4 linked regions of the Oryctolagus cuniculus genome follow. The protein of the gene in region 3 purifies or fractionates together with the protein of the main gene of each other region. This does not show direct contact. Links are inferred from orthologs where the notes say so. Each region holds a gene or a part of one and is shown on either strand. Other genes may lie near its edges.

Evidence for each region.
Region 1: the proteins of PLEKHM1 (region 3) and VPS41 purify together in Homo sapiens (affinity purification with western blotting; 4 studies listed by BioGRID and IntAct, with this or other methods). This does not show direct contact. The link is inferred for Oryctolagus cuniculus from reciprocal best matches to the Homo sapiens genes PLEKHM1 and VPS41.
Region 2: the proteins of PLEKHM1 (region 3) and VPS33A purify together in Homo sapiens (affinity purification with western blotting; 3 studies listed by BioGRID and IntAct, with this or other methods). This does not show direct contact. The link is inferred for Oryctolagus cuniculus from reciprocal best matches to the Homo sapiens genes PLEKHM1 and VPS33A.
Region 4: the proteins of PLEKHM1 (region 3) and VPS39 purify together in Homo sapiens (co-immunoprecipitation; 3 studies listed by BioGRID and IntAct, with this or other methods). This does not show direct contact. The link is inferred for Oryctolagus cuniculus from reciprocal best matches to the Homo sapiens genes PLEKHM1 and VPS39.

What each region holds. Positions count from the first base shown.
Region 1 is NC_091447.1:28,829,673-28,836,868, reverse strand, and holds part of VPS41 (vacuolar protein sorting-associated protein 41 homolog), read left to right. Parts: intron 1-1,464; coding exon 1,465-1,557; intron 1,558-2,490; coding exon 2,491-2,618; intron 2,619-3,977; coding exon 3,978-4,122; exon of another isoform or gene 4,123-4,324; intron 4,325-4,502; exon of another isoform or gene 4,503-4,572; intron 4,573-4,937; exon of another isoform or gene 4,938-5,051; intron 5,052-6,283; coding exon 6,284-6,325; intron 6,326-6,477; exon of another isoform or gene 6,478-6,638; intron 6,639-6,725; coding exon 6,726-6,776; intron 6,777-7,196. UniProt on the Homo sapiens protein: Plays a role in vesicle-mediated protein trafficking to lysosomal compartments including the endocytic membrane transport and autophagic pathways. Acts as a component of the HOPS endosomal tethering complex.
Region 2 is NC_091452.1:6,883,753-6,890,948, reverse strand, and holds part of VPS33A (vacuolar protein sorting-associated protein 33A), read right to left. Parts: intron 4,928-7,196; coding exon 4,790-4,927; intron 1,556-4,789; coding exon 1,387-1,555; intron 385-1,386; coding exon 203-384; 3' UTR 1-202.
Region 3 is NC_091448.1:18,647,030-18,654,900, reverse strand, and holds the start of PLEKHM1 (pleckstrin homology domain-containing family M member 1), read left to right. Parts: upstream 1-3,359; 5' UTR 3,360-3,367; coding exon 3,368-3,490; intron 3,491-5,613; exon of another isoform or gene 5,614-6,957; intron 6,958-7,014; exon of another isoform or gene 7,015-7,095; intron 7,096-7,871. UniProt on the Homo sapiens protein: Acts as a multivalent adapter protein that regulates Rab7-dependent and HOPS complex-dependent fusion events in the endolysosomal system and couples autophagic and the endocytic trafficking pathways.
Region 4 is NC_091443.1:65,246,580-65,254,542, reverse strand, and holds the start of VPS39 (vam6/Vps39-like protein), read left to right. Parts: upstream 1-2,681; 5' UTR 2,682-2,853; coding exon 2,854-2,926; intron 2,927-7,963. UniProt on the Homo sapiens protein: Regulator of TGF-beta/activin signaling, inhibiting SMAD3- and activating SMAD2-dependent transcription.

The sequences.
Region 1 (7,196 bases), on a different chromosome or scaffold from region 3:
AATATATTTTTAATTAGCATTTTACCTGTTGGAAAACAAATGGAAAAATTTGACAATGTAACACTAATAAAATTTTTATATTTGTTTTTAAATCTTTCAACAATATGCAACATCCAGATGAATCATCAGTTATTCCTGAGTTTAAAATGTTTTTAAATTTTTTCAGTATTTGTGGGCCTTCTGAATGCTCTCTTGGAATTATGGTATAATTTTTTAAAATCATGGTTATTTAGTTCCTCAACCCTCTGACTTGTACTGTGCTAGTCCCATAAATTTATTCTTCCCCAAGAGGCCCTCAACAAACTTCTTACGGCGTTTACCAGGCTGTTCCTCAAGGATTTTCTCAGTCCTGTGGCCCTCTTTACCCGGATGACTACGTAACCCAGATCTCTCTTTGGAATTGTGTGTGATGGCTACTTCTCTTTGTTTATACTGCTGATAATGACAGCTAAATGTAACTCTACTTCCTTCCAAAATTTGTCCTCCTTTCAGTCTGTGTTTATCACACACAGTAAACCCATTCCCCCATGCTCGACAGCTCAAAGCCACTGTTCTTGAGAACATCTTACCTCTTGTTCTATTTCATATTCCACCTCGTTGCCATGTCAGCCCCACTGGGCTCTGCCCTTCCACTCCTGTATCAGCCTGAGCTGTTGGAAGGGCCTTCAGAAAGATCTGTGACTTCCCTAGTACCTATGGCTTCCCTCTTCCCATAGAATAAAATTGGGATTGCTTGCACGGCCCCACATCTCTTTCCTGTCCAGCCTCATCTCCCTTCAGTGACCCCTGTCTCACGTCTGTCGGGCCTCCATAGCACAGATGCACATCCTTGGCTGCACTCCTTTGCTACTGTTTTTCCCCTGCCAGATGTCCTTCTCTTGCTTTGCCTCACAGACCCCAGCCTCAGTGGGCACGGTTCTCCCCTGCTGCCACAGTCCTGTTACCGCCTTTCCTGCAGCACTCAGCATAGATTGGCACAGTTACCTGTGCAGATGTCTGCCTGTGGAATTCTGAGCTGGTGGGCGATAATGACCCTCGTTCATGTCCCAAGCCCAAAGCACGACCATGGTGTGTAGGGGGCACTCTAGGGTAACTGAATAGTACTGAAATATTTAACTTCTAACACAACACTGAAAATACTGTACTAGGAATACAAGAGGTATTTTTCCTAAATTCAGAAGACGACTGTGAGTTTTAAAGGTGAATATATTTCAGTTTCTGAAGAAAGGTGATCAGATGACCTATACTCCTTGATTACCTAAGAAGTTGACTTTTATAATCTCTGTGACATTCTCTCTCTTATTATTTAGATTTTCATTAATTCCTCAGTAAGACCAGAGAAATAAAGGTTCACTTTGTTAATTTTTAAATTAGAAATGTACATTTATATCTTGTGCATAATTATGATATAGGTTCATTTCACTGCTTTTTGAAGGTTTTTTCTTTTTTCTCCCTTTCCCTTAGGCTATCAGTCCTTATTTGCCAAGAGGGGATCCAGTTCTGAAGCCACTCATCTACGAAATGATCTTACATGAATTCTTGGAAAGTGATTATGAGGTGTGGCATTCTGCTGTGGACATACTGACTTGTTCTCAATGGGAAGTTTAAGACATGTAGAAAGCAGAGGCAGGCAGTTCGCCTCGCGGTTAAAATGCCAGTTAGGCCACCCACAACCCCGGCCTCAGCTTTGACAGAACTCTGGGAAACGCTTTCATTGCTGGTTGTTTATTAAAGAATGTTACAGATGATACAGATGGAGAGATGCGCAGGGCAAGACATATGGGAAGGGGCTCAGGGCTTCCATGTTCTCTCTACAAAACCTGTCCTTTAGCCGGCGCCGCGGCTCACTAGGCTAATCCTCTGCCTAGCGGTGCCGGCACACCGGGTTCTAGTCCCGGTTGGGGCGCCGGATTCTGTCCCGGTTGCCCCTCTTCCAGGCCAACTCTCTGCTGTGGCCAGGGAGTGCAGTGGAGGATGGCCCATGTGCCTGGGCCCTACACCCCATGCTAGACCAGGAAAAGCACCTGGCTCCTGGCTCCTGCCATCGGATCAGCGCGGTGTGCCGGCCGCAGCGCGCCGGCCGCGGCAGCCATTGGAGGGTGAACCAACGGCAAAGGAAGACCTTTCTCTCTGTCTCTCTCTCTCACTGTCCACTCTGCCTGTCAAAAAATAAAATAAAAAAACCTGTCCTTTGATTTGTATGTTAGCTTGATTACTTAGGCATGATTGATTGACCTATTAGTCACTGGGGGATCTTTTCAGCCTTTAGCCGCTGTCCCTTCTCCAGAGGTTGAGGGGTGGAAAATCCCACCCACCTAATCCTGCTTTCATCTTCCAGAGCCCCAGCCCCCATTCAGCCCACTACCTGCACAAGTCACTGTGGAAACTCCAAGGATTATTATAAAAGTTGTGTGTGCTGGGAGGAGCCAATTTTTATTTCATAAAGTCTGATTTGAAGAGCGTCTTTCTCTGCTTTCTCCCTCTAAATAGGGTTTTGCCACGTTGATCCGAGAATGGCCTGGAGATCTGTATAACAATTCGGTAATAGTTCAAGCAGTCCGGGACCACCTGAAGAAAGATAGTCAGAACAAGACTTTACTGAAAACCCTGGCCGAACTGTGAGTACATTCTAGGACTTCTTTCTCTAAGTCGGTCTTCATTGTAAACTTTTGTATTCTGGAGATTGGGCAAACTCTGAATGAGGAAGATGCCACTTATATTATTTTTCTACCTTTACTAAGAACTTTTCATAAATCTCAAATAACAGTTAGAAGGCAAGGACAGTGTGTGGAACTATGCAGCTGTGTTGTCAGAGGGAGGAAGTACCCCAGCCCTCAGCACTGGGAAGAGGCAGCATTGGGCAACAGAAGGGCAGCTGGGTTTTAGATCAGGCAAGCAAAACAGTCTGCCAGTGAGCAAGGCTCTGGATTCTGTTATCCTTAGAACTTAGTCAGTTAACCTCTCGAGCATCAGCTCGTATCTGTACATTACAGGTTTTTTCGTGAGATCGTTTTAAGCATTGAGTGAGATGCTGTACTAGAGCACCGAGTGTGGTACCCAACTTTCTGGCCTCAGAATGGAAGCTTGGTTGCTATTTTCCGTATCTGTTGTGCACTCTTCTGGTGCAGGAAGCCTTGTGCCAGATGCCTGGGAGGCAGAGATAGATGATACACACTCATGCCGTCAGGGAGCCTCAGGCTAGGGCAGGAAGAGGGACACTGTGGGTCCATCCCAGAAGTCATCCTGTTGGCTCTTCCTCAGCACCCCACCCCCCTCAGGGGCCCCATCTTCTTACTGCTTTCGCCCAAAACTAACAGATGTTGACCAGAATGGCCTAGAATTCAGGACTGCCTCGGGTTTTCAGCAGAGGGGGTGTGTTTCCCGCATTCTCACTCAGAACACCTATCATCTTCCTTTGGAAAGCTTGTTCTAGATGTCCCTTAGATTTGGCACTACTGTTAATAAAGAACTAGCAATACAGTTCCTGTTTAGCTGGCATTCGGAAGCTGACTTAGGAACTTAACATGAAAAATCTAAAGGGAAAGAACGCATTTCAATTCTGTAGAACCCACTTACACATAGGCTTTTGGAAGATAACCCATTTTTCAGCTCAACGCTTAGGAATTTTGCTGATTTTTCTCTTACTAAATTGAGAATTTTTCATACTGGTTCATAATTTATTTTTCTGGTATACAGATTTCTATAATACTTTTGAGATTGAACATTCCCCCCCATAAAAAATTTTATTACTTGAATATTACAAATTTTCTGAGATTGTGGTGAAATGAAAGACAAGGTTCTGAGAATGAGATACCTACTGGTCATGTGTAGTTTATTCCCAAGGAATTTTTTTTGCAATAAATTTTTCCCCTCTGAATAAATGTTTTAATTTTTAATATTATGCAACATGATCTGCATATGTATGTTTTAATTAGAGCTAGTGAAGACTATTAATTTCAAAACTTTTGCGTTACCAGGTACACCTATGACAAAAACTATGGCAATGCTCTGGAAATATACCTTACATTAAGGCATAAAGATGTCTTCCAGTTGATCCACAAGCATAATCTTTTCAGTTCCATCAAGGATAAAATAGTTTTATTAATGGATTTTGATTCAGAGGTAATATATTTCTTATTTGTGCTGGATAAACTAGCTGTATTATTGTAAATTTGTACTAGTTAGATATCTGTCCAAATGCTGGATTGGTGAAAGAGTCAGGTAGCCTTGCCATCTGCTGATCATGCTGGAAGCACTCTACCAGGTGTAGATGTTGTTATTTTAATAGCTTGCATTCATAAATCCTTTCCTTGATGTGGTTATTCTGCAAAAGAAAATGTAATTTGATAAGAAACTTAAAGGGGTGAGTGTGTGTGTGTGTTTGTAAAACTCATGTAATTCATAGAAACAAATAAACCAGGCATATGCTCTGGCTCACTTAACATTTTAATCTCGGTTCAGAAGTTAAAATTGTAAATACACTTCTATTTTGATCCACTTACTGCTGTTTGATTCTTGAGCTCTCACGGATCTCGCAGGAGCAGCTTCACTGGTTTCAGCTGAGACTCAGGTCTAGGACATGCAGAATGTGTTATTTTATTGCTGGGCAGATGTGAGTAGTGACTCACTTGACTAATGAGGGGACTCAGCCTCCACAGCTCATAGTGGCTTTGTAAATGACACACACCGTGTATGCACACGTACACACTCACCAGTTCATAAAAAGGAATCTAATTGTAAGTATTGGTGACAGAAATAACAAGACTGAAAAAGAAAAAAAAACAGAGTTCTTTATTCAGAAAATTGAAATTTTAGGTAAATCAAAAAGTAGAACCCTAAGGGCTGCATGCATTTTTAATGATGTTTTACTGCATTAGCGCTATTACGTGTTATATTAATCTCCACAAACAAACTTTTTAGATAGGAGCTAGATCTACCTTTCTCTAAAAGATGCGGTAGCCTCCTTTTTTTATGATTCACGTCCTTAGAGGCGCAGATCCACCAAGCAGCAGGGGGTTCCAAGGAAGCTCAGGTACAAAGGCTCTGCTTCTCTGACAGAGAATAATTAAGAAAATGAGATGCCTAAATAAAAATTAATTGCATTTTCCCCACATCCAGGCTCTCCTCATGCCCATCCTCTTTCCCTCATGTGTCTTGAGAGCCTAGTTTTGCACACGTAGCCGTAGAAAAACAATGAATTGACCAAAACACATTTGTTATTCAGGAACGTGAACCAAAATTAAGGAATCATAGAGATTTCTGATTGGAAGAGAACTTAGGGATAATCTATCCCAGCATCCTTATATTTCAGAGAATGAAAATAAGGTTTGGAGAAGCCAGCTAGGTAGTAGTGAAGTCAAGAACAGGACCCAAGGATGGCTATTTGGCTTAACAATTAAGATGCCAATAGATTCAAGTCCCAGCTCTACTTCCAATTCCAGCTTCCTACTAATGCACACCCTGGGAGGCAGCAGTGATGGCTCAAGTAATTTGATCCTTGACCCACAGGGGAGACCTGAATTGAGTTCCTAGCCCCTGGCATTAGTGTGCCCTTGTCCCAGCTCTTAAGGACATTACCAACGGATGGTGGCTTTATCTATGTCCACCTCTCACACAAGTGAAATAAATTAACTTAGAAAAAAAGAAACAGGGTTCAGCAACTCTGTATAAGCCTCAGGCTGGTGGGCTGTCTTCCTGCTACTTCTTGTAAGCTTTCTAATTTACGTTTCATTAATGTTAAGGGTGGCCAACGTAAATTCTAAAAGTCAGTAACCTTATATCTTTGTGACACTAAAGGTGTATTATTGTTTTTCTGGCTCTTTCAAATATTTTCTGCCTAAGACCAGTTCCTTATTATGTCTGTAGGCACTCATAGGGAGACTTAGTCAAGGTTCCAGTAGTCACAAGTAACGCTCATCTTTGTGGTTCTGGAATGAGATGTTTTCCATTAACTACCAAGAGTTGCATAAGAACTTATAGTGATGTCTTTGACATGAAGAGGGCTAAAATATGTGTAGCTGAGATTTTTTTTTTATATTTGGTGAGTTATAGCAAGACACTTTGCCAATAGTAGGCAAAGCACACAGGTTTCAGATTGAGACTTCTTGAAAATGCATTTTTTTACAAATGTCATTTTAAATAAGGGCCATTGAAAAGCAAAGGGCCTCCTGAAATACAGAAAATAATATTTAACCTTTAACTGAGATAGCATATGCCTTATATTAAGTTTAGTATTCCCATCTTGTACAGCGGATTTCAATGACCATGACTATTTCTGTTTCAGAAAGCTGTTGACATGCTTTTGGACAATGAAGACAAAATTTCAGTAAGTGTCTAGTTTATGCTGCTGATAATACCATAATCTGGGAGAGTTATAAAGAAGAGAAGTTTGTTTTGTCTGATAGTTCTTGAGGTTGGGGGCTGCATCTGATGACGGCCTTCTTGCAGGCAGAATCCCAAAGCAACACAGGGCATTACCTGGTGACAGGAAGCTTGTGTGAGAGGCAAGCAGCATGCATGCAGAAGAAAGAAGTGACATCCCAAGAGAGGAAGCGGGGGAGCAGGAGTTGCACTTCTGTAACTATCAAACCATAGCAATGTGTTACTGGTTACCAGTTGACTGTCCGGAACCACTTCAGCTACAAAGAGGAGAGATGTTTATCAGATAATTTATCAGCTGCACTTGTGTCCTCATAACTCTGTTCAAAATGTTCTTTTCTTTATAGATTAAAAAGGTAGTAGAAGAATTGGAAGACCGACCAGAACTGCAGCATGTGGTAAGCATGACAGTCTCTTGCCTTCTTAACTGAGTGGTGGGCAGATCACCTTTCAATACTGGAGCAAACATGCTGGAGTGAACTCTTTATGGAAGTTTTTTAATTCCTAAAATGGGGCATATGCTCTGAATCCAAGGCTAAAGGTTAAATGCAGATGAGACTTTTGAACTTTGACTTACAGTTGAATTGTGATATAGACTTCAATTCATTTTTGTGTCACTCTGTTACTGTGCCTAGGAGTAAGCACTTTCCCACTCTAGTCGCCATTGACTGGAGTCATGGCAGAAACCACTGCAAACTCTGAGGAGTACTGCACACGCTGCCGCCTTCTGCTGGGGAAACAGCACACAGCCTCGCTGTGTCCAGCACCACAGAGCAATCACAGCACAGCCTCAGCTTTCTTTCACCTTGATAATAGCC
Region 2 (7,196 bases), on a different chromosome or scaffold from region 3:
CAATTTCTCTTTTACCTTCTATTTCTTTTCCTTCCTATTCTTCTTTCTTCAAGAAATTAGGAATATAAAGAGAGAAGCAGGAAGGAATACGCAGTAGTATAACGGAGGAAGCTGGCCCCAAAGTAAGTGCTGTGTTCCTGTTTTCTTCCACGGGGTTTCATTTCCTCTCTGCAACTTCTTCAAAAAGGGTTTCCTGCACGCGCTAGAACGGTCTCTCCATCAGAGCCTCCAGCCAGCTGGTGCCGTTCATTAGCTTCGTGGTGGCGATGACGTACTCCGTCCCTCCATCCTCCAGCTGGGAGAGGAACCGCAGCGCCGCGATCTCAGCGAAGGTCACACCCCCGAGGAAGAACACCAGGGTGACTCGGTTTTCTCCTGGTTGACCTAAAATGTGAACATTTCAGAATTAGAAACTATTATTGGTGCTTCTCTTTCCACTTTTTATTTATTTTTAAAAGATTATTTATTTATTTGCAAGTCAGAGTTACAGAGAGAGAGGAGAGGGAGAGAGAAAAAGAGAGAGAGAGAGGTCTTCCATCCGATGGTTCACTCCCCAGTAGCTGCAACGGCCGGAGCTGTGCTGATCCTAAGCCAGGAGCCAGGAGCTTTCTCCGGGTCTCCCATGGAGGTGCTGGGGCCCAAGGACTTGGGCCATCCTCCACTGCTTTCCCAGGCCATACAGAGAGCTGGGTTGGAAGTGGAGCAGCTGGATCTCGAAGCAGCGCCCACATGGGATGTTGGCGCTTCAGGCCAGGGCGCTAACCTGCTGCACCACAGCGCCGGCCCTTCTTTCCACTTTTTAAAACATTTTATCACTAGGGCTGGTGCTGTGACATAGTGGGTAGAAGCCGCCATCCCATATGGGTGCCAGTTTGAGTCCTGGCTGCTGTGCTTCTGATCCTGGTCCCTGCTAACGCACCTGGGAAAGCAGTGGAAGATGGTCCTACTGCCTGGGTTTGTGCCACCCAAGGGGGAGACCTGGATGAAGCTCCTGGCAAACGGCTTTGGCCTGGCCCAGTGCTGCCCTTTGTGGTTATCTGAGGTGAGAACCAGTGGATGGAAGATCTCTCTCTCTCTCTGTCTCTCCCTCTCTGTGTAACTCTTTCAAAGTAAATAAATAAATCTTAAACAAAACCATTTTGTCCTCCACATGGATGAAAAGGCAGATGCGTCTTGGAAGACGCTGCGTTTGAACCTCACACACACCGATCTGCAGCTCCAGGCTTTTCCTAACTGCGGGTTCCTCCACGCAGAGGCGGGGGCTGCTGCTCCCGAGGGAGTGACGTGGTTCTCGCACTTAACGACCACGAGAGCGGTCCTGGTCCCAAGCACGTGACGCAGCAACTGCACGACACACCCACCGCGCCACACCTGGCCGCCACTCACGTTTCTTCTGCAGCCCTGTGGGCAGGGGCTGCCGCTCCTCGAAGTGGGGCCCCGGGAGGATGCGGAGGACCTCCTCGATGCTGCGCCAGCCGGGCCGCGACAGCAGCTGGGCCAGCCGCACGCTGAGCGGCGCGTAACCACTGTACACGTAGGATATATCAGTAGGGTTCTGTTAAAGAAACAAACGGAAGCTCGGAGACTCGGAGACGTAGACTACGAACTGCGGCTGTTTGGGCAGTCCAGAATTATTTGATTTGTATTTGAAGGCAGAGATACAAAGCCTGTCCCCCTCTACACACACGTACACGCACACGCACACACACGCACACGCACCCTGTGCTTGCTCCGATTCGCTCCACTCCAGCTGCGCGGTTCTTGGCAGCCAGAGCTTCCCTTTCGACTCCGAAGCCGGGCAGTCAGCCCCAGGTTCCGCACAGGAGAACTTGCCATTCTGCTTGACAAGAAATTCCCTGGGGGTAACTGAGCGCACTCTCCCCAAGTAACATCATGCACGACCTTTGAACCCAGCACTGTACTTTTAGGGTACTTTGGGCTTTTCTCCTACAGAAGTGTTTGTAGGCCCTAAGACAGTGGACAGAGTGAAAGCGCAGGAACTGAAACACTGTATGGAATGGCAAAAGGCTGGACACAACCTCAACCTCTATCTGCTAAATCCTAAGCTATATCCTCAAAACTACTAAGTAGCCAGCAACTACAAAGAAATAAGGAGGAGAAGGGGGAGACCACAGGAAATCTTCAAGACCCCGTAAGCGGTGGGGAAGTTGAAGACAACCGGAGGCCGTCCAGCGGGGCTGGGTCTGTGAGCCCCTGGCAGATGTGGGCAGCAGGCGCATGCCGAGGCTGGGAGGCGGGCATCCTCCCCACCGCAGCATCCTGTCCCGTAGGTGTGAGCCGGTGCTTCTAACCACATCTTCAAGCTAGTCGCAATTTTCCACCCAGAATTCGCAGAAGGGGCTGAGCCCACCCAAGAGGAGCCAGGCTGTCTCCAAGAGACTCCCACTGTCTCCATGGCCCCAGGCCAATCAGCATACACAGTGAGAAACCCCGTCCACGGGGCACCTCCATAAACACCCAACGAAAAGACAGTAAAGCCTTTGAGACCCCGGCACTTCCCGAGACCCAGAGTCCTGCGCAGGCGTGCATCTGCTCTCCTCTCAGACGAGGTGCTTCACTGCCACTTTGCAAAACAAAAATAAAGTCTCTGCTTTTTCACAAAGCGTTTCCCAGCTTTTTAATTCTATACTAAGCTGAGGAAAAGAACCCACCAACTTGCTCCGGGAACCATTGTCCCCTCCGGGACAGTAACACAACCCAAACCAGCAAGAAGGGACTTCAAAAAGTTGGTGGAAAATGAAATCTGGGGCCAGCGCTGTGATATAGCAGGAAAAGCTGCTGCCTGCAGCACCAGCATCCCATACAGGCACTGGTTCAAGTCCGGCTGCTCCACCTCTGACCCTGCTCCCTGCTAATGTGCCTGGGAAATCCCGCAGCAGAAGATGGCCCAAGCACTCGAGCCCCTGCACCCAGAAGCAGCTCCTGGCTCCTGGCTTGGGCCTGACTCAGCCCTGGCCAGTGTGGTCATTAGGGGAGTGCACCAGCGAATGGAACTTGCTCTCTCTCTGCCTCTGCCTCTCTGTAACTCTGCCTCTTATAAATAAGTAGGAAACAGAAAGAAAAGGAAATTCAACAAGTTCATTTTGGGGCAGTAAAAAACTGAAACCCATGCAGTTTTTTCATATGTATTTTCCACGAATTTTACTTATTCAAGAGGAAGAGAGAGAGAGAAAGTGAGAGGGAGACAGACGTACTCTGAGAGCGCTCTCATCTACTGGCTCATTCCCCCAAATGCTCCCAGTGCTGGCTAGGACTGGCCAAAGCTCAAGTTGGGAACTCAACCCAGGTCTCCCACACAGGTGCCAGGACCCAACTATCTCAGCCATCACTGCTGCCTTGCAGGGTTGGCATTCGTAGGAGCTGGAGTCAAGACCCAGAGCCAGGTAGTAAACCCAGGACCAACAATGTGAGACACAGGTTTGTTGTTGTTTTTTTTTTTTTTTTAATTTTTTTTTTTCGACAGGTAAAGTGGACAGTGAGAGAGAGAGACAGAGAGAAAGGTCTTCCTTTGCCCTTGGTTCACCTTCCAATGGCTGCCACGGCCAGCGCGCTGCGGCCGGCGCACCGCGCTGATCCGATGGCAGGCAGGAGCCAGGTGCTTAACCTGGTCTCCCATGGGGTGCAGGGCCCAAGCACTTGGGCCATCCTCCACTGCACTCCCGGGCCACAGCAGAGAGCTGGCCTGGAAGCGGGGCAACCGGGACAGAATCCGGCGCCCCGACTGGGACTAGAACCCGGCGTGCCGGCACCGCAAGGCGGAGGATTAGCCTAGTGTGCCGCAGCGCCGGCCAAGACACAGGTTTTAACAGGCGTCTTAACTACTAGGCTACATGTCCAGCCTTCTGTGAAGTTCTTGAAGCTCCCTCATTTATTATGGACATAATGAAACAGAAAGTAAGGGTACTACCACTTTCAGGGAGAAAAAATTTAATTTTGCTATTGAAAGAGGCGACTGTCAAGTTATGAACCTTTATTTCCTTTATGACAAACCAAAAAGAAAGAAAAAGAAATCTAGAAACGTGCACCATTTGTGTAAAAATGTTTGTATATGTACACCACCTTTCTGGAAAGAGATTGAAAACTGGCTACAGTGGTTGGCTCCCAAAACCAGGGTTCACTGTGGCAGGAAACGGACTTTTCAAAAGCTGCCTGCCTCGCCTTACTCAAGCTACCTTGCTTGACTGTGGACGGGAGCTGGACATCCACCATCTTCCCAGGCTCTGGGCCCAGCAGGCACCTGCAGGCTGTACTCGCCCCTTCCCAGGCTCTGGGCCCAGCAGGCACCTGCAGGCTGTACTCGCCCCTTCCCAGGCTCTGGGCCCAGCAGGCACCTGCAGGCTGTACTCGCCCCTTCCCAGGCTCTGGGCCCAGAAGGCACCTGCAGGCTATACTCGCCCCTTCCTAGGCTCTGGGCTTCCTCTCTGACCCTGCGGAGGCAGCGGGGTGCCCTGACCAGTGGCTCCTCATCCCTGGTTCTGCCTGCTGACTCTACACTGCTCCTCTCCAGTTCCAGCAGAGGCTCGGGAACACCTCCCTGCCCTTCGGGCCTGCGCTGGCGAGGGCTCTCCACTACACCGGCCGTAGTCCCACCCTGACCATGTCTACGTTCAGTTCTCCTCAAGACACCCACTCTGAGGACATTCTCCTGCCTGCTGGGATTCTGATGAACACAACACGTGAACACACGCCTTTTGCAAAACGTCAGGAAGTTCTTTGTAGAAAATAAGGCAGATGTCACAGGGAGTCAGATAACAGAGAGCTGCCTTACTTGCTCATTGACGTCATCCATCCAGAGGCGCAGCGTCTTCCGGATGGTCGGGTAGTTGTTCCTGCCTCCCGTCTGCGGTCTCAGCAGGCCGGCCTTTTCCAGGTTGTGCAAGGTCAGGATGTGCTCGTAGCCGTAAGTCTACAAAACATTCCGTTTGGCCTTGATGTCAGATCAGGAAAAGCATTTCTGCAATTTTTGTTTGTTTTTAATTTTTTTTATTTATTTGAAAGTCAGAGTTAGAGAGAAAAGAAGAGAGAGAGAGAATGAGATCTTCCATCCACTGGTTCATTCCCTACAATGGCCAGAGCTGTGCCAGTTTGAAGCCTCAGGAGCCAGGAGTTTCTTCTGGGTCTCCCACATGGGTGCAGGGGCTCAGGCACTTGGGCCACCTCCTACTGCTTTCCCAGGCCATTAGCAGGGAGCTGGATCGGAAATGGAGGAGCTGGGACTCGAAAGCCAGCGTTTGTATGTGATGCCAGCATCACGGGTGGTGGCTTTACCTGCTATGCCACAGCGCCAGCCCTGCACAAAGGGCACCTCTGACAAATCCGTTTGTATTCCAAAAATAACTAGTAACTACTGAAGTCCAGCCATAACCGCCAGTGCACACAGCAGACAGGGCAAAGGATGAAACTTGTCCTAACATGCTTGCCCATTACTGTGAACACAGCTCACGGCTGCAGAGTGATTTAACACTTTCAAAGTATTAAAATAGCATCAAGTAAATTACAGCATATTTATACACGGGGTATAATTAGTTCAAAAATAAATAAGGCAGACCTACACTTCCTGATAGGAAAGACTTCTAGATATAGTCTTTTTTTTTTTTTTTTGACAGGCAGAGTGGACAGTGAGGGAGAGTAGGGAGAGAAAGGTCTTCCTTTGCCGTTGGTTCACCCTCCAATGGACACTGCAGCTGGCGCACCGCACTGATCCGATGGCAGGAGCCAGGTGCTTCTCCTGGTCTCCCATGGGGTGCAGGGCCCAAGCACTTGGGCCATCCTCCACTGCACTCCCGGGCCACAGCAGAGAGCTGGCCTGAAAGAGGGGCAACCGGGACAGAATCCGGCGCCCCGACCGGGACTAGAACCCGGTGTGCCAGCGCCGCTAGGCAGAGCATTAGCCTAGTGAGCCGCGGCGCCAGCCCTAGATATAGTCTTAAGAACAAAAAAGAGGTAATATCATGTATAGTTGGATTTTGTATCTGTTAAAAAACGTAACAGCAGCCACCACTTTCTACAAGGGACAGGCGCTTGGCGCAGCGGTTAAGATGCGCTTGGGACAGCCTCATCCCACATGGGACTACTAGCGTTCAAGTTCCAGTTCCCTGCTGATGCATACCCAGATGGCGGCTCCAACACCTGGGCCCCTGCCACACAGGCTGGAGGCCCAGGTGCAGTTTCTGCCTCCTGGACCTAGCTCGGCCCAGCCCCGGCTGCTGCAGTCATTTGAGGAAGCAAACCAGCTGCTGGAAGAGCTCTTTCCAAATGTCAGAATGTCTGTTACTTTCTCTCTTTCAAAAGAAAATAAACAGGCCAGCGCCGCGGCCCACTTGGCTAATCCTCCACCTGTGGCGCCGGTACACCAGGTTCTAGTCCCAGTTGCCCCTCTTCCAGCCCAGCTCTCTGCTGTGGCCAGGGAGTGCAGTGGAGGATGGCCCAAGTGCTTGGGTCCTGCACCCCATGGGAGACCAGGAGAAGTACCTGGCTCCTGGCTTCGGATCAGTGCGGTGCGCTGGCCGCGGCGGCCATTGGAGGGTGAACCAACGGCAAAAGGAAGACCTCTCTCTCTGTCTCTCTCTCTCTCATTGTCCACTCTGCCTGTCAAAAAATAAAATAAAATAAACAAAGAACGTGAAGAAAAGAATACTGTCTAGGAGCGGGGCACTGCTCTGATCGAGCGCTTCACTCAGTTCACTCTGCCATCTGCGCCACGACCCCACGAGTGGGCAGCACTGTCAGGTCCCTTTCACGCACGCCACCCAGCTCACAGCTCATGAAGAGCAGAGCTGGGCCTGGACTCAGCCAGTCCCACTTGGGTGTCTGCAAACAAGGGAGTCTGGAAGTGGCTGACGCTGGTGACATCTGGGGAGCGAGACGGGGTGTCGCAGAGTACAGAGATGGTCCCATTTTGCTCCAGGTGCTTCTGCATTGTTTGACGCACCTTATGTAAACTTGGAAAACGGTAAAAATAAAAACAAATTTTTAATTTTAATAATAATGTACTCAGGGAAGGCACTGTGGTGAAGCAGGTAGTCACCACCTGCAGTGCCGGCACCCCACCTGGTGCCAGTTCGCGCCCCAGCTGTGCTACTTCCTAGCCAGCAACAGAGAATGGCCCAAGTGCTTGGCCTGCACCCATGTAGGAGACTTGGAAGAAGCTCCTGGCTCCTCGCTTCGAATTGGCC
Region 3 (7,871 bases):
AACTTGCTCGCAACAAAATAAGGTAATAGACAATAGGGTTTCACATTTTGTTTTGTTTCACAGCTTAAACTTTTTGGTTCCTGCCACCCTCTCTGCTCCTAGGAGCTCTGAGGTAACAAGGTGAATTAATAAACACCAGGAAAACATTGAAGGAAAGACTCAACTAGCTGACACATACTGGTTGATGGGCTTTTTTCCCCCTGAGAAATTTATTCCGCATGAATAACCAGCAGCCATAGTTCCTGGTAAAGCTGTACCTCGTTCTGCAACAGAAATGAGTATTTGATCACATGCAGGCTTCTAAGCACTCACCTGCTCAGCAAGTCTGAGACTGGATGGGGTAGGGGGTGGGGATCCTACTAAGAAGTGGCCTGCACCCAGGCAGCTACGGTGGGAATGAGGTAGAAGGAACTAGGACCCCAAAGTCTGTTCTCAGAGAAAGAATGTACAGGGGTCAAAAGGCAACAACACAAAGTTGTCTGGCTCAAAAATGGAACCTCTGGAGCAGTGATGTCCAGCCTACCGCTACAGATCCTAGGAGGACCTCTGAAGACATATGTGCACCAAACACTGTTTGCAGGGAAAGTAAATCATGTATCATCTACAAACATGTTACAATATCATGTAGAGCAATCATATGTTATGTATGCATGTTAACTCATTTAAATCTTATAGCTACCATTGAGATCTTATTCTCCCCAGTTAACAGATGAAGAAGCTAGGTTTGGGGATAGATAACTTGCCCAAGTTTAAAAAGACAATATTCCAGGCCGGTGCCACGGCTCACATGGTTAATCCTCCGCCTGCGGCGCTGGCATCCAATATGGGTGCTGGTTTCTAGTCCCAGTTGCTCCTCTTCCAGTCCAGCTCTCTGCTGTGGCCCAGGAGGGCACTGGAGGATGGCCCAAGTGCTTGGACCCTGCACCTGCATGGGAGACCAGGAGGAGGCACCTGCCTCCTGGCTTCGGATTGGCACAGCACCAGCCGTGGCGGCCATTTGGGGAGTGAACCAATGGAAGGAAGACCTTTCTCTCTGTCTTTCTCTCTCTCAATGTCTATAACTCTACCTGCCAAAAAGAAAAAAAAAATGACAATATTCACATATGGCTGCACCCATGGCTCAAACAGTGTTATCTTCCCCTGTCTGTTTCTCCACTCTGCTGTCCTCTGTGATGGCTTTGCTCTTGGGAGGAGTTGGGCCCTTTGTCTGCAAAGACAGGTGTAATTCCAATGTGACACTGCCAGAGAGAGCAGACATTTCAGAAAAAACCTTGGGACATGGGTCAAGGAAAAGGAGACTGACCAACCAAGGTCATGTGCACATCTTGGGGTGGGGGTATTAAACCAATAACCTGATCCCAACAGAATCACATGGAATAGAGGAGGCTCATCCCAAAAGTACAATGAGAGGGAGGTTCTGTTACCAGAAGCCAAGGGAGTGAGATAAGCCAAGGGAGTATCAGAGATGGAAGCCAGATTGAAATAACCCTTTAGCCTCAACTCCTAGCAGTCGTTCATGCGTTTCTAGACACATGACCCTCCTCCAGGGCACCTCCCAAGTTCTCCTTTCTGCTCCCACAGCAAACTGCAGAAGCCTTTATTATTGCTCAAATGGTAACATGAGACTTATTTCTCCATCTGGAGTATTTCTGGTGGACTCCTGGTCCATATACGAGATATTTTGTGACATGTGCACTGTGAGTATACATTTGTGGCATTTCCCTCCTGCCCACCTCCGGCCCACTCCTAGGACCATACTCTTATGCAGTTTCACAAGGGCCTGTTGAGCCAGATGAGAAGAGATAGACAAGCCTTTGGACTCTTTGGCAAGGCTGAAGGCCTAGGAAGGAAGGGAAGACCAAGAGACAGAGACTCCATGGGCCGGCGCCGTGGCTCACTTGGTTAATCCTCCGCCTGTGGCGCCGGCATCCCATATGGGTGCCGGTTCTAGTCCCGGTTGCTCCTCTTCCAGTCCAGCTCTCTGTTGTAGCCCGGGAGAGTAATGGAGGATGGCCCAAGTGCTTGGGCCCTGCACCCACATGGGAGACCAGGAGGAAGCACCTGGCTCCAGCTGTAGTGGCCATTTGGGGAGTGATCCAACGGAAGGAAGACCTTTCTCTCTGTCTCTCTCTCTCTCTCACTGTCTATGACTTCACCTGTCAAAAAAAAAAAAAAAGAGAGAGAGAGACAGAGACAGAGACAGAGACTCCTGAACAGCAGATAAGAGATTAGTCCGAGGAGCTCCCCATAGCACCCGAGGATGGCGGCTGTGCACAAAGCACAGAAGGACATAATGTGCTCGATTTGGGGCAGGGCGTCCTGTGCCAAGCCACCAGTGCTCTTTGCTGTGCCAGTTATGATGAGAAACATTATCCTTATGCCACAGTAACTGGATTTCCCTAGAAAATTCCTACTTCCCACTCTGTTTAAAATGAGTTTAACACCAAGTGAATAATTAGTCTCTATGGCCTTATTTTAAAACCACAGTGCTCAACCATTAACTACACTGAACGCCCACAGCCCCATCAGAGCCGGGGAGGTTCTCACGCCTGGAGAGGATCACCCAGAGGCAGCCCGCATACTGTCCCAGCCCCAACTCCAGCCGTCGGTCTTACAAACGGAAGTAGGCCCTGGGACCCCAACCTTTCTGGAGATTTGAGGGACGCAGTCCTTCCTGGAGACGCAAGGGAACACATGACCCCTGGCCAAGGCCAGTGGAACTTGGTTCCAAGAACTGGGCTGTTTCCCCAGCCACCGCTCCGTGCCCTCAAAGCACTTGCACATGGCGGCTCCCCCCAACACCCACACCCACTCAGGCCCCGGGCTTCCATTTGGCCAAGGCCTGCAAGCAAGTGCCCAGAGCCCACAGCCCCTGCCAAGACGCCTGCCCGGCCCTTCAACTGGCTGTGGTCACTACTCAGGACATTTTGTTCTGAATCCACTTGGAAGTGTATGTACCTGCTAGGTGGAAAGCAAACAGCCGCGAAGGGGCTAGAAGCGACGAAGCAAACAGCGCCCCGGAGGCCCTCTAGGCGCTCCCGCGCCCCAAGGTGTGCTCATGTTTTCCTGGCAGGGAGGCAAAGGTGGGGCCAGCGTCCTTGGGACCACTCACAAGGGGGCGACAGTCCGCTGAGGGAGGCGAAACAGCAGCCCCTACGTCAGGCAGACGGCGCCGAGGGCTGGAACCTAGAAGCCAGGAGACAGCCCGCCCGACGCCAATGTACACCAGGAGACACCCTGCCCTCTCATGCACTCCTTGGGGCGAGCGCTGGGCGAGGGCGAGCCTTTGGTCCCGCCCCGCTGCTCCTCGGGGCCCTGCGATTGGCTCCGCAGGCCGAGGGGGCGTGGCCACACGCCAGCCGGCGTGATGGCGTCAGGCGCCGCGGGCGCCGTTTCCTGTTGTCGGTGGCCCGGAGAGCGCATCGTCGACTTGGGGCTGAGGGGCGCCTGCGGCCGAGAATGCCCCCAGCTCCTCTGCCCGCTCCTCTGGGTGAGTGAGGGTTCCAGGAGCGAGGAGGGCAGCGCAGGGGCGGCGGGGCCGAGACGCGCACGGGGGGTGGGCCTTCCGCCCTTTCTTGATTGCACAGCACCGGTTGCCTTGAGACTGTCCGGCTTCGGAGCCCTCACCCGTTCTCGCCCGCACCCCACGCTCTGCCACTGCCGGCCCGTCTCCCCCATCTGCTCCCACCCGTGACCCGACTTCTGCCTTACCCGTCGCCTCGCCGCGGGTCTTGAGTAAATACAGCTGCTCTCGTGACCCCACGTTAGACCCCTGCCATCTCGCGTCTGGGCCACATCCCCGCCCCTCCGCTAACGCCCTCAACCTTGCCTCTCAACCCCCGTGGCGACCCGAAAGGTCCGCGCAGACCTCCCCCAAACCCACCCTTCTGGTTTCCCCATCGCTGGCTCAACTTTCTTATCAGCCTCCCACAGCCCCTGCCCAGCTCCCCAGAATCTGCCCCCTTCTCATTTAGGACCCATCACCAAAGTAAGGCGCCTTGTTGAGCGCACCGCTTTCTTAGCGACTGATGCAGCCTTCTCCCGAGTCTCGGGTGTATCTGCCTTCCAGCCCCGCACATTCTTCCTTTCCATCTGCTACCGCCTGAGCACACCGCATCCCTGGTTTGCTAAACTGCCCCCAGCTCCTGCAGCCTGAGTTCCTACCACCCTTCCCCACTCTTACTAAGAATGAGCTCTCCGTAGCCTGTCGCTTCTGCTGTCCCCGCTGCCACCCTTCACCGCAGCGTGGGGCCCGTTCTTCCCTCGATCCAGCTTCCATTCAGCTTAAGTCCCGTTAGTGCAGAGCCAACCGCCGGCTGCCCTCCAGCTGCCAGATCTGGGTATTTGCTGGGAGCCAGGCAGTTGGAAACCTGGCAGCTTGAGTGGGCAGGTGGGGCTCAGGTGGTAAATACATGTGGAGGGGGAGGAATCTCTTTATCCTCTACGCCACACTCTTGGGTGGGGGTTTTGCTTGGTGCCAGCACCCAAGTACCTGTCCCTGGCGATTGCATTTCTGACATCCATATTAAATTAATTGTGCCAGCTAATGGAATAGGAGTTGTCATCCAAATGTCTGGAAGGTGAGAGATGGCCACTCAGCCTGGGGCACTTCCTTCTGGCTGGTGTCCTGGTCCTGAAGAATCTCAGGGAGTAGCACTGTGTGGCATTGACTGTGGTCACAGCCATGTCCATGTGCGTCATCCTGGAATTTGTGGAGGACCCACTCCCAGTGCTGCTCCTCGCCAGAGCTGGTGCAAGTCCATCCCAGTGCTGAGCGCAAGGACCCGTGGGTCCCCAGACACCTCATGGTTGTGAAAGTACAAGCGAGTGGATCCTGAAGAGGCTGAGGCGTGGGTGGGCACAGAGGATGTTGAATTGCTTCCTCTTTTGAAGGTGTCGGAGCTTTGGCCGTTTGGCTTCCATGCACACGGAGCCGATTATTCCTAGAGCAGTGAGGCACGAGGACCTTCCTGAGGCACCGATTCCCATGCTCAGTATATGTAGTCTTGGGGGAGAGGGTTTGGTGCACAGTTCCTCAAACTTCTAATGCCCCGGCCTCAGACGTGTTGGCCACTTGACAGCAATTTTACAGGACCTCAAGAGAACCCCTTGTCTGTGTTTGCCATTTATACTCTTGCTTCTTTGAAAATCAAATGCTGTTCAACTTTCAATATATTTTTTAAAATGATTTATTTTATTTATTTGAAAGAGAGAGGTTTTTTTTTTTAAAGATTTTATTTATTTATTCGGAAGTCAGAGAGTTACACAGAGAAGAGAGGCAGAGAGAGAGAGGTCTTCCATCCAATGGCTCACTTCCCCATTGGCCGCAATGGCCAGAGCTGCGCCGATCTGAAACCAGGAGCCAGGAGCTTCCTCCAGGTCTCCCACATGGCTGACAGGGGCCCAAGGACTTGGGCCATCTTCCACTGCTCTCCCAGGCCACAGCAGAGAGCTGGATGGGAAGAGGAGCAGCCGGGAGTAGAACTGGCACCCATATGGGATGCCAGTGCTTCAGGCCAGGGTGTTAACCCACTGTACCACAGTGCTGGCCCCAAGAGAGAGATTTTTTTTTTTTTAAGATTTATTTGTTTTTAAAAGCAGAGAGGCAGAGAGAGAGGTCTTCCATCTGCTGGTTCACTCCCCAGATGGCCACAAAGGCCAGAGCTGGGCCAATCTGAAGCCAGGTCTCCCAGATGGGTGTAGGGGCCCAAGGACTTGGTCCATCTTCTACTGCTTTCCCAGGCCATAGCAGGGAACTGGATCAGAAGCGGAATATCTGGAACTTGAACCAGCATCTATATGGGATGCCAGCACCACAGGCCACAGCTTTACCCTCTACACCACAGCACTGGCCCCAAGAGAGAGGTCTTCCATCTGCTGGGTCACTCCCACATGGCCGCAATGGCTGGAGCTGAGCCAATCCTTAGCCAGGAGCCAGGAGCTTCTCCCATGTGGGAGATCAAGGACCAGGGCCATCCTCTGCTGCTTTCCCAGGTGCATCAGCAGGGAGCTGGATGGGAAGTGGGGCAGCTGGGACCTGAACTGGCACCCATATGGGATGCCAGCACTGCAGGCCGGGGCCTTAACCTGTTGTACCCGAGCGCTGGCCCTCTACTTTCAATATCTTACCATTAAGGAGCAGTATATCTGAGTGGTTTCCACTTGATTGGCAGCCTGGTTTAATGGAAAGCATCCCACAAGGCCCACCTCTGAAGAGTTGGCACCTCAGTTTTCCGAGGTCTGTGAAGCGGAGATACCTGCCCTGTGCTTAGTTTTTATTTATTCATCAATTCATTCGAGTATTTTTTGAGCACCACTGTGTGTGCCACACACTGTTTACATACTGGAAACACGGTTGTGAACAAGTCAGGCAGTGTCTCCGTGTTCATTCATTCAGAGTTTACTCCTTGTTGGAATACTGTGGGATGTGGAACGGGAATACTGGGGAGCTGGATGTTGCTGGATGGAAGGAGGGAGGGAGGGAAGAAAGGCAGCCAGTGTTTCCAGCTTCACGGTTCTCACCCACTGTTCCTTCGGAAATCACAAGCTAAGAGTTCTCTCATATTTGAAGCAGTTGTTTCAAAGGTCCGCACCTTCCCACCTCTCATCCCACCCCTTCCAGAACACTTGTCCAGAAATCCAGCTTTGTGCAGTTGGAAGGGGGTACTGTTTCCTCATTCAGCGCTCACATGCCTGAAGGATCAGCTGCCTTTCTGAATCAGAAGATATCTTTGTCATTCTTTTCCAACTGAAAATGCATGACTCATCCATTGGTACCGCAGCTGGATGGCTTTAAACACCAGGCTGTTGTTCCGAGCAGCCAGGTTCATGGTTCAGGCAGCGGAGGAAAGACTTTTGGGAGTTGGCTGACAAGTCTCTAAAGAGAGGTTGCTGTTTACTGGTGGTTAAATGTTTTGAGAGCGGTGAAGCCAGGGGTTATCCATTTCTTCTTTCAATGTAAGTCTCATCTAAACTGTTCTCTTTTTTCTTTCTTCCTTGGTCTCTGGAGGAAGTAAAATTGGACATCCTATATACAAAGAGACAAGAATTATAATGAAGAAAAACAACGAGGACAATTCCTAGTGTTCTGACTGCGTAAGAAAGGGCAGCTCTAAAACCTGGGGACCATGGCAGGACCTGGGCTCAGCCGACTGGGGCTATAAATCTGATCGGTCAAGCCTGTTTCCTGTTGGTCTTAGGCCTTATTGATAAAATGGAGCTTTTGAGTACCTTGGAAGAATCTGTAAGTAGTAGCTTGCCTGAAACTTTTCAAGCCAAAAACCAAAGAGACAGATCAGTCGGGCAAAAGGCACAGGGGTTAGAATGTGGGAACCAGAGAATTCTGTGTGTTATCTGAGGCCCGTTTCTCTTGAGCCTCAGCTTTCTCCTCCGTGAAACAGGGATGATCCTCCTGTCACAGGATTGCTGTAGAAATTAAAGTTAGAGAATGAGCTCAGAGCAGCTTGCTTTGTTTACTCTGGAAAACTGTGTAAGGGTGAATCAACACTCGGAGGTGGCAGGAGACAGTGTGTTATTTCCTAAATGACAAAAACTACCTCCTTACCCCTACAAAACTTTCACCAACACTGTTTGAAAAACCCCTTGGTAGCATCGCCCAAGTTCTCTCTGTATTCCCTTCCGCATGGTTCTTGAAACCATGCCTCTCTTTGGTTTGGTTTTTGGTATCAAGAAATAGTGTTTTGAGGACAGGAGGTGATACCAGTTCCATCTGATAGTAAACCGGGGCCTGGGCCACCCAGGTGGATAATGGAACCCGGACCAAACAGTCAGGAGCCCCAGAGCCTCCTTCCAGTCCCCCAGGTAGGTGCTTAGGTCCCTGGTGGACAAACTCCTGTCTCCTGAAGCTCTGG
Region 4 (7,963 bases), on a different chromosome or scaffold from region 3:
ATTTCAGATGTACTTTAAAGAGAAATATTTGCTTAACTCTTTTGACATCTGCTATTGTGACATATCCCATTGCTGGCAATGTGGTGCACACTCCGAGACTTTTAACTACTGTTTTGTAAGCCTCCAAGGGCAGTGTGGCAGAGTCCTGGGCAGTGCTTTGTTGGCCTTCGTGCTTTCCACTGTGTGTTGCATTAGCTGCAGAGCGGTGCTCCGTCTCACGTGCTAAGAGAGAGCATCTTGCCAGAGCACCTTCAGAAGAGGGAGCTGCAAGAAAGGAAACAGGTGCAGGGGGCTTCATTTCAGTGATTGTTGCCTGAAGTAGCGTGGCGCTCCTGGACTGCTGCTCCTTCCTCAGGGTTGCAGGCTTGACTGGTCCAGTATCTGGCGGTAGTTTAGAAGCTGTTTATAAGGGATGTCACACGGTGATGGGATTCACTTGAAGCACTATATTTCTGTTTTAATGGTTTTATCCAATTTGCCTTCCCAAGAGTTTTGTTCTACATAAGTTCATGCCACTTTTTAATATAAAAATTTTAACAAAAATTAATAGATTTTTCTCATTTTTTCCATACTCTCTCAAAAGAACCTTCTGTCTTCCATATTCTCTTGGGGACATTTTCTTTTCACGGCTTTTATTCTGGATTATCTTGCTTTCTGTTGAAACCAGTAAGTACACTGCCCACATGACCACTGTTCACTGGCTCCTGCTGTGGTGGAAGTGCTAACATGTATGTACCATTTCTCTATAGCTCTTTGGTGATTTTTTAAGAAGTCACCAAGGCAGTATCTCTAAGGAACAACAGTATGAGTAGCTGACTATATTTTTGTGCCAATAATACATTAGCAACAAGCTGGTGGTTTTGTCTTGTGTTGCTGTTGCACAGTAATAAGAGTTACAATGCAACAAGGCAGTTGATCAGTGTACTTTATAGGGCTTGATGTTGACTTGAGACTAGCAGAAAGCCCTATTATATAAAATAAGAGTGTATAGTTCAAATTTTAGACCCTGGGGTCTGCTAATTCCAGCTGTTGTTTACTGTTACTGGGACTGGAAATAGTTTTTTATTTCTTAGGACAGATCCAGAAGGAATTTGTAGTTTCACAGTGACCTATTTATTTTGGTGGTTTGCTTAGGCCTGGAACTAAAAGGTACTAGACCTTCTTCCAGCTCCGCTCTGGTAATTCTAAATTTTCAAGAAGGTGACCAACTTCTGTGGGAAAAATATCATAATATAAGGTTTGCTTAGCAATTTCTGTTTATTCTGGCTACTTGAAAATACTCTTTCATTGCCTTCAGAATAGCATTTGGTAAAGGTGGCACAAGGATCCCTACATTTATAATATAAAAACAAAATGACCAGGACCAGTTTTTTGTTTTGTTTTGTTTTTCACAGGCAGAGTTAGACAGTGAGAGAGACAGAGAGAAAGGTCTTCCTTCCATTTGTTCACCCCCCAAATGCTGCTAACGCTGGCACTGCGCTTCCTCCTGGTCTCCCATGTAGGTACAGGGCCCAAGGACCCGGGATATCCTCCACTGCACTCCCGGGCCACAGCCCTGCAGGCGCAGGATTAGCTAAGTGAGCTGAGGCTCCGGCCTGTTTTAACATATACTATAATCAGCCTTTTCTTTAACATTTTTGCTTTCAACTCAAATGCTAGTCTTGAGATATATGTTTTTGTAGGGACAATTACCAAATACAAAAATTCTTGCAGCTCAGATTTAGCTTTTTTGTTTTTCAAGTCTCCAGGGTGAATACTAAGGTAACCTCAGACAGTACAGAACCATTAGGATGGAAGAGCCGTGTCACTGCTTCCTAAAAGGAATATTAAGATTTAAGATTCAGCTTGTTAGACTTAATTGGTAGGAATGTATTTACCAATTTAAAAAGAGCTTTATTTTTCTATCTTCCAAGACACCAACCTCTGGCTGCATGTTAGAAATGCTCCTTTGAGGGCCCTGTGCTGAGTCAAAATCTGCATTATAAGAGTGTCTCCAGGTGATCTGTGTGTGCATTAAATTTGAGAAGCACTAGCCTGTTCAAGGTGGTCACTGACGGGACATTGGGCAATCAGACATCTTTGTTTCTGTGTCTGGGCAGCAGGGCAGTGGCATCTGTCCGCTGAGTAGTTCAGGGATGCTGCTAAGCATCCTAGCATTGCCAACAGAGACCTCTCCCCGCCCCCATTATCCTGCCCTCAGTGTCAACAGTGCTACAGGTCTACAGTTGAGAAACCAGCCTGGAAAGGTAAAGCTTGTGTGCAGACTCACCTTGGGGATTTGGCTAAAACACACACCGCTGTTCCCCTCCATAAATTGATTCAGTAGAGCTACAGTGAGGCCCGAGACTTCATCACAGGTGATGCTGTTGCTTCTGGTCCGGAGCCCCACACTTTGAGAACCTGGGGATCCAAGGATTAACTCTCCTAAGGTACAGCTGAATTTTCTAAATGCCAGATCTCCATCCCAAGTCTGACGCTAAAGTACGAATACTTAACCGCCACGTTCATTGCCTAAGACAGAGCTAAGATTCAAATTTCTTCTTCCTTTCAAGCCCTTAGCTACTTTAGGCACCACCACGGAGAAACTAGGTCCAGGGCGAAGATAGGAACCTGGGCGCCAGCAAATTCCTTGAGGGGACTTTGGGAGCCAGGACGGAAGGGGCGGGACCTAGACTGCGGAAGGGGCGGGCGCAGCCGGCAGGAAGTCCGGGCTTGACGATGGCTGTGTTGCTGAAGGCCCTGTAGTGGGGGGTCCTGGGCCGAATCTCGGTCTACCCCTAACCCGGCCTCGTTCAGGCCACAAGCCTGCGGGACGCAGGGCGAGACGAGGGCGGCGCTTGTCTGCTCGCCGCCATGCACGACGCTTTCGAGCCGGTGCCGATTCTGGAAAAGCTGCCTCTGCAGATCGACTGTCTGGCTGCCTGGGGTGAGCCGAGGGGCGGCGGGGTCGAGGCCAGGTCAGGGCGGGAGCAGCTGGGACCTTTAGCTAGGCTGGGCAAGTGGACAGGCATCTGGCTGTATGCACTCTGGTCGGATGCTCCCCGAGAAGGACCTGGATGACGGAGGGCGGAGGGATGACCGCCGGCCGTAGACAGCGATGTCCCTGGGGCTGCTTGGGCGATCCCTAGCGACCTAGGCATTTTAGGGACGTGCCGCTTCCGTTTGCTCTGTGCGTAGTTAGAGGCTGAGCTTTCCTTATTAATTGTGCTCAGTTTGGGCCCGTGTTGTTTCCCAAGCAGTCTTTTGCGTAGAGGACAACAAAGTGGGAAAATTTCAGTCTGCCAGGGACTTGAACTTGTCCAAAGGATTGTGTTGTTTTCTAGGTGAAAGACAGCACTGGTCTTTAGACATGGAACAAGTTAACGCTATGCACTTTTTTCCCCCTTAGTGATCACTCATACATCTACTTCTCATTTTTGTAGGTGGCTCACATAGTACTCTAAGCTTTTAACCTAGCCAGGTAGTTGATTGCTTTGTATTCAAAGTGTCCAGGTTGTCTAACTCTGTAGGTAGAAGAGCATCATACCAGACTGCATGACACCTAACCCATAAGCATTATCATAATCCTCTTGGAATTGGCTAGTGCAGAAGGCATGGTCAGGCATCTCTTGTGTGCTCTGGGATACAAATGAAAGTTGCAGAGGTCCAAACCTTGACTATTAGCTGGGAGTGGTTGTGTCTGATAACAGCCAACAAAGAAATAATTTCAGTCTGTCCCACTAGTGTTCAGGTCCTGGAAACTAAGGACCACAAAAAGTGGCTCATAACTTTAAGCAGATCTTATCCTGAACTAGGTGCCCCTGATGGCGGTGTGGAATCTTAGTGGTGGCTGGCATCCTGCACACTCTGTTGACAGTGCTGTTCACTCGTCTGTGCAGAGTTCTTCCTGGCCTTTGCAGTGGGATTCCCTTCCTCCCTTCCATTTTGCACACCCCCACCCCCCAATGCATGGAGTTCATTTGTTACAATCTTCATGTAGATGTGGGCCCCTCTAAAATCACACCTCCCTACTGAGCTCTCTTGGGCCTTTGGATTAAGAAATAATCCTACTTCCTCCAGACATCTCAAGAAAACCTCCATTTCCTGCTGTGAATTGGTCTCAGTAAAAATTAAAAATGGAGCAAATAAAGAAATTAACAAAATGAAGGACCTGAGACTCTACAGAGGGCTTCATTCCCTGATTGCTCCCTCAAGTCTGTATTAGGTGCCTGCATGGTCCCCTTCCCTCTGCTGGGGACGGGAATACAAGGAGGAATGAGCATGCCCCTGCTTGTAGGACACACAGTGGGGGACAAGACCCAGGAACAGATGAGGATACAAGAGAAGTGACAGTGGAGGCATGTGCTGCCTGTTACTGTAACACGGTCAAGGGCGCCCAGCTCAGCTGAGCACAGATGCTTCTGACCAGGGCGGACACCACTGCCTGCCATGCTTGACCTGGCACATCTGAGTCATTGACTGTGGTCCCTGCACATCTCTTAGACTCGCTCACCAACTCCGCTTGCATAATGAAGATTCCTGTGCCTGTGCTTTTCAGGAACACGATTTTGAAGTGCCAGGCTTTCGGCCTGCCTCGGTTACTTACCAAGCCACAGAAATGCTCTTTGCCTCCTTGGGCGCTGTGAAAGATCCTGAGCTGCAGGAAGCCATGTACTGCCTCCTGCCTCCAACTACTTTGTTTTCATTCTTTCACAGCAAGAATCACTGCTCTTTCTAGTCATTGTGCCTTTTATTTGCATGTGTCCCTAGCTGGAAAGTGCATCCAGGAGCCAGATGACACAGGGCAGACAGCATTTGAGCAGGAAGGTATCTTAGAGGCAGCACAGGCCTTCCCCTGGGAAATGGAAATGAGGAGGACTCCACTCCAGCAAACCGTGATGTTCCCCTGCATCCCGCAACCCAGCAGCTGGCCAGAAGCCTTGGCACAGTGTTGACTTTTCTCATCCTCGCACTCTGCATCCTTTCTATCAGCAAATCTTGTCTGTCATACCACCAGATTAAATCTGAAATCCAGTCATTTCTCTTCATCTGAGCGATTACTACTCATCTGTTTGAAAGGCAGAATCACATACAGAAGGAAAGAGAGAAAAAAAATATTGAGTAGTCTGCCATGCACTGGTTCACTCTCCAAAAGCCCATAATAGCTGAGGCTGGGTCAGGCCAAAGCCAGGAGCCTAGAATTCTGTCTGGCTCTGTCTGCCATACGGGTGCAGGGGCCCAAGCACTTGAGTTATCATTTGCTGCACTTCAGGATACATTGGCAGAAAGCTGGATCAGAAGTAGAGCTGGCACTCCAATATGGTGTGCAGCTTAATCCATTTGCACCACAGTGTCTGCCCCACTTATTAACTACTCTTGACACCATCATTTCTCTTTGTTTGCCTTTGTTCCATTTTAGTTGTTTTTGTTCATGGAGGTAGAATGGACCTTTGAAAACCTCAATCTGATCATACCTGCCTTTTGCTCAAACCCTCCAGTGGCATCACATCACATCTAGAATAAGTTCCCAAGTCCTTATGCTTGTTGGCAACGCCCAACACGATTAGCTTCTGGTCACTTCCTGACTTTATTTCCTGTACACCTCCCTCTTGCTTCTTTCTGGTACCAGTCTCACCATTTTCCTATTTTTTTTTTTTTTTAAGATTTATTTAATTTGTTTAAAAGGCAGTTACAGAGAGAGGGAGAAACAGAGAAAGAATCTTCCATCTGCTGGTTTACTCCCCAAATGGCTTCAATGGCTGGAGCTGGGCCAGGCCAGTGCCAAGAGCCAGGAGCTTCTTCCTGGTCTCACGTGGGTACAGGGGCCCAAGGACTTGGGCTGTCCTCCTCTGCTTCCCCAGGCCCATTAGCAGGGAGCTGGATTGGAAGTAGAGCAGCCAATATTCGAACCAGCACACATGTGGGATGCAGGCACTGTAGGGCATGGCTTTAACCCACTGTGCCAGAGCACCAGCCCCTATAAATTTAATTGTTATGGTTTCTCTTCACATAAGTAAGTTCCTTGGCCTGGTAGTCAAGACGCTGCTTGGGAGGCCAGTGTTGTGGCGTAGTGTGTTAAGCTGCTGCTTGCAACGTTGGCATCCCAAATCAGGTGCATCTTGAGTCCTGGCTGCTCTGCTTCCAATCCAGCTCCCTGCTGGTGCTCCTTGGAAAGCAGCAAGAGATGTCCCAATTATTTGAATCCCTGCCACCCAAGTGGGAAACCAAAATGGAATTCCTGGCTCCTGGCTTCAGCCTGGCCCATCCCCAACTGTTGTGGCCATTTGGGGAGTGAACCAGCAGTTTCTTCTTCTTCCTCTATCTGTGTCTCCCTCTCTCTCTGGTACTCTGCCTTTCAAATAAATGATATAAATCTTTTCCCAAAAAAAGACAATTGCTTGGGGCCTCTGCATTCTATATTAGACTGCCTGGGTTAAAGAGTCCCAGCTCTGTTTCCAATTCGAGCTTCTGGCTAATGCCAGTCCTTGGAAGTGCAAGTAATTAGGTCCCTGCCATCCATATGGGAGACCTGAATTAAGTTCCTGGCTCCTGGCTTTGGCCTGTCCCATCCTGGGGCATTTGGGGAGTGAGTGAACCAGCGAATGGGAGATTTGTCTAAGCTAGCTCTCTCTCTCTCTCTCTCTCTCTCTCTTTTTTTTTTTTTTTTTTTTTGTTTTCTCTTTCTACCTTTTGAATAAAGTAAATAAAAATTTAAAAAAGTAAGTTCCTTCAGAGCAAGAATTTTGTTTGGTATATTTACAAATTTAGCTGTATCTACATTTCCTGAAAAAGTTCCTGATTCAGTGGGTATTCATTAAATCTTTGATAAATTAATAATGATATTAATAGTAATGTCTTCTATTAACTGAGTAATGGTCTTTATTAGTCTTTTATGAAGTTAATAACACCCCCATTTTACAAGGGAAGAACCTGATCATAGAGAATTTAAGAGATTTTTCCAAAATCAGTATCCAGCAAGTGATGTCTGATTCCAGAGCCTGGTTGTCAGATTTAATGTGTGTGTGGAGCCTGTGAAACATGCAGATTCTGTGTGTGTGTGTGTGTGTGTGTGTGTGTGTGTGTGTAGAATACATAATATATTTCTATTTTCCAAAGAAACTGTGGAGAGATAAACGAGCAGTCACTAAAATGATCTCCATGGTGGAATGGAGAGGGAGTGTGGAACACACTGATGGTAGCTAGACTTATATGAATTGTGTCAGTGTTTCATGTAATTAAGGAAGGAAAGGAAAGGGGAAATGCAGCATACTGCCACAGGGTCTTGAACCAGAATCTCCGGGTGCGGGTCTCAGCCACATGCATTTTCAGTAAGTCCAAGTGGCCCGGATGCAGATAATCAAGGGTGGGCTTTGAGAGACACTCCTCACCTTGGGACTCAAAGGTGAGAGATGACCACTGCCTCGCTCAGCACTGTGCTCCCTGTGGTGGCCAGCACGGGCCAGGAAAGCAGTCACTTATAACATGCGGTTGGGCCGTGTGGCCTTGTTGGCCAGAGCTTCTTTAGAGTACAAGCAAGAGGGCCCAGCTCACCTCCCACGAGGGATCCGGGAGTTGTCTGGGGCTGACTCTGCTTTGTTTAGGTGTGTGTTACCTGTGCGTGTAGCATGTTCCATTTTCTTATGCGCAGTATTGAGTCCCAGGAGACTTGTGTTGTGTGTACACAGCTGTGTTACAGAATGGCATGTGCTAGAATGAAGGACCTCACGTGGATCAGGTCTTCTTGTCAGCCAACCCCCACTGACTTCCGTGACCAAATCAGACCTCTTCATGGCTGGGTTAGATGTGCCCTTAGCCCACCTGGATGACACACGCTTTGTTCTTAAAAGTTTGAGGATTGGGAATGAGTATGTGTGTGATACGTTTATTATTTAAAAGAAATTTGTCACAAATACTTTCCAAATATGATGAGTACATTTTTCCTTGGCACCTCCAAAATAAAACTTGAGAGGGGTCAAATAAAATT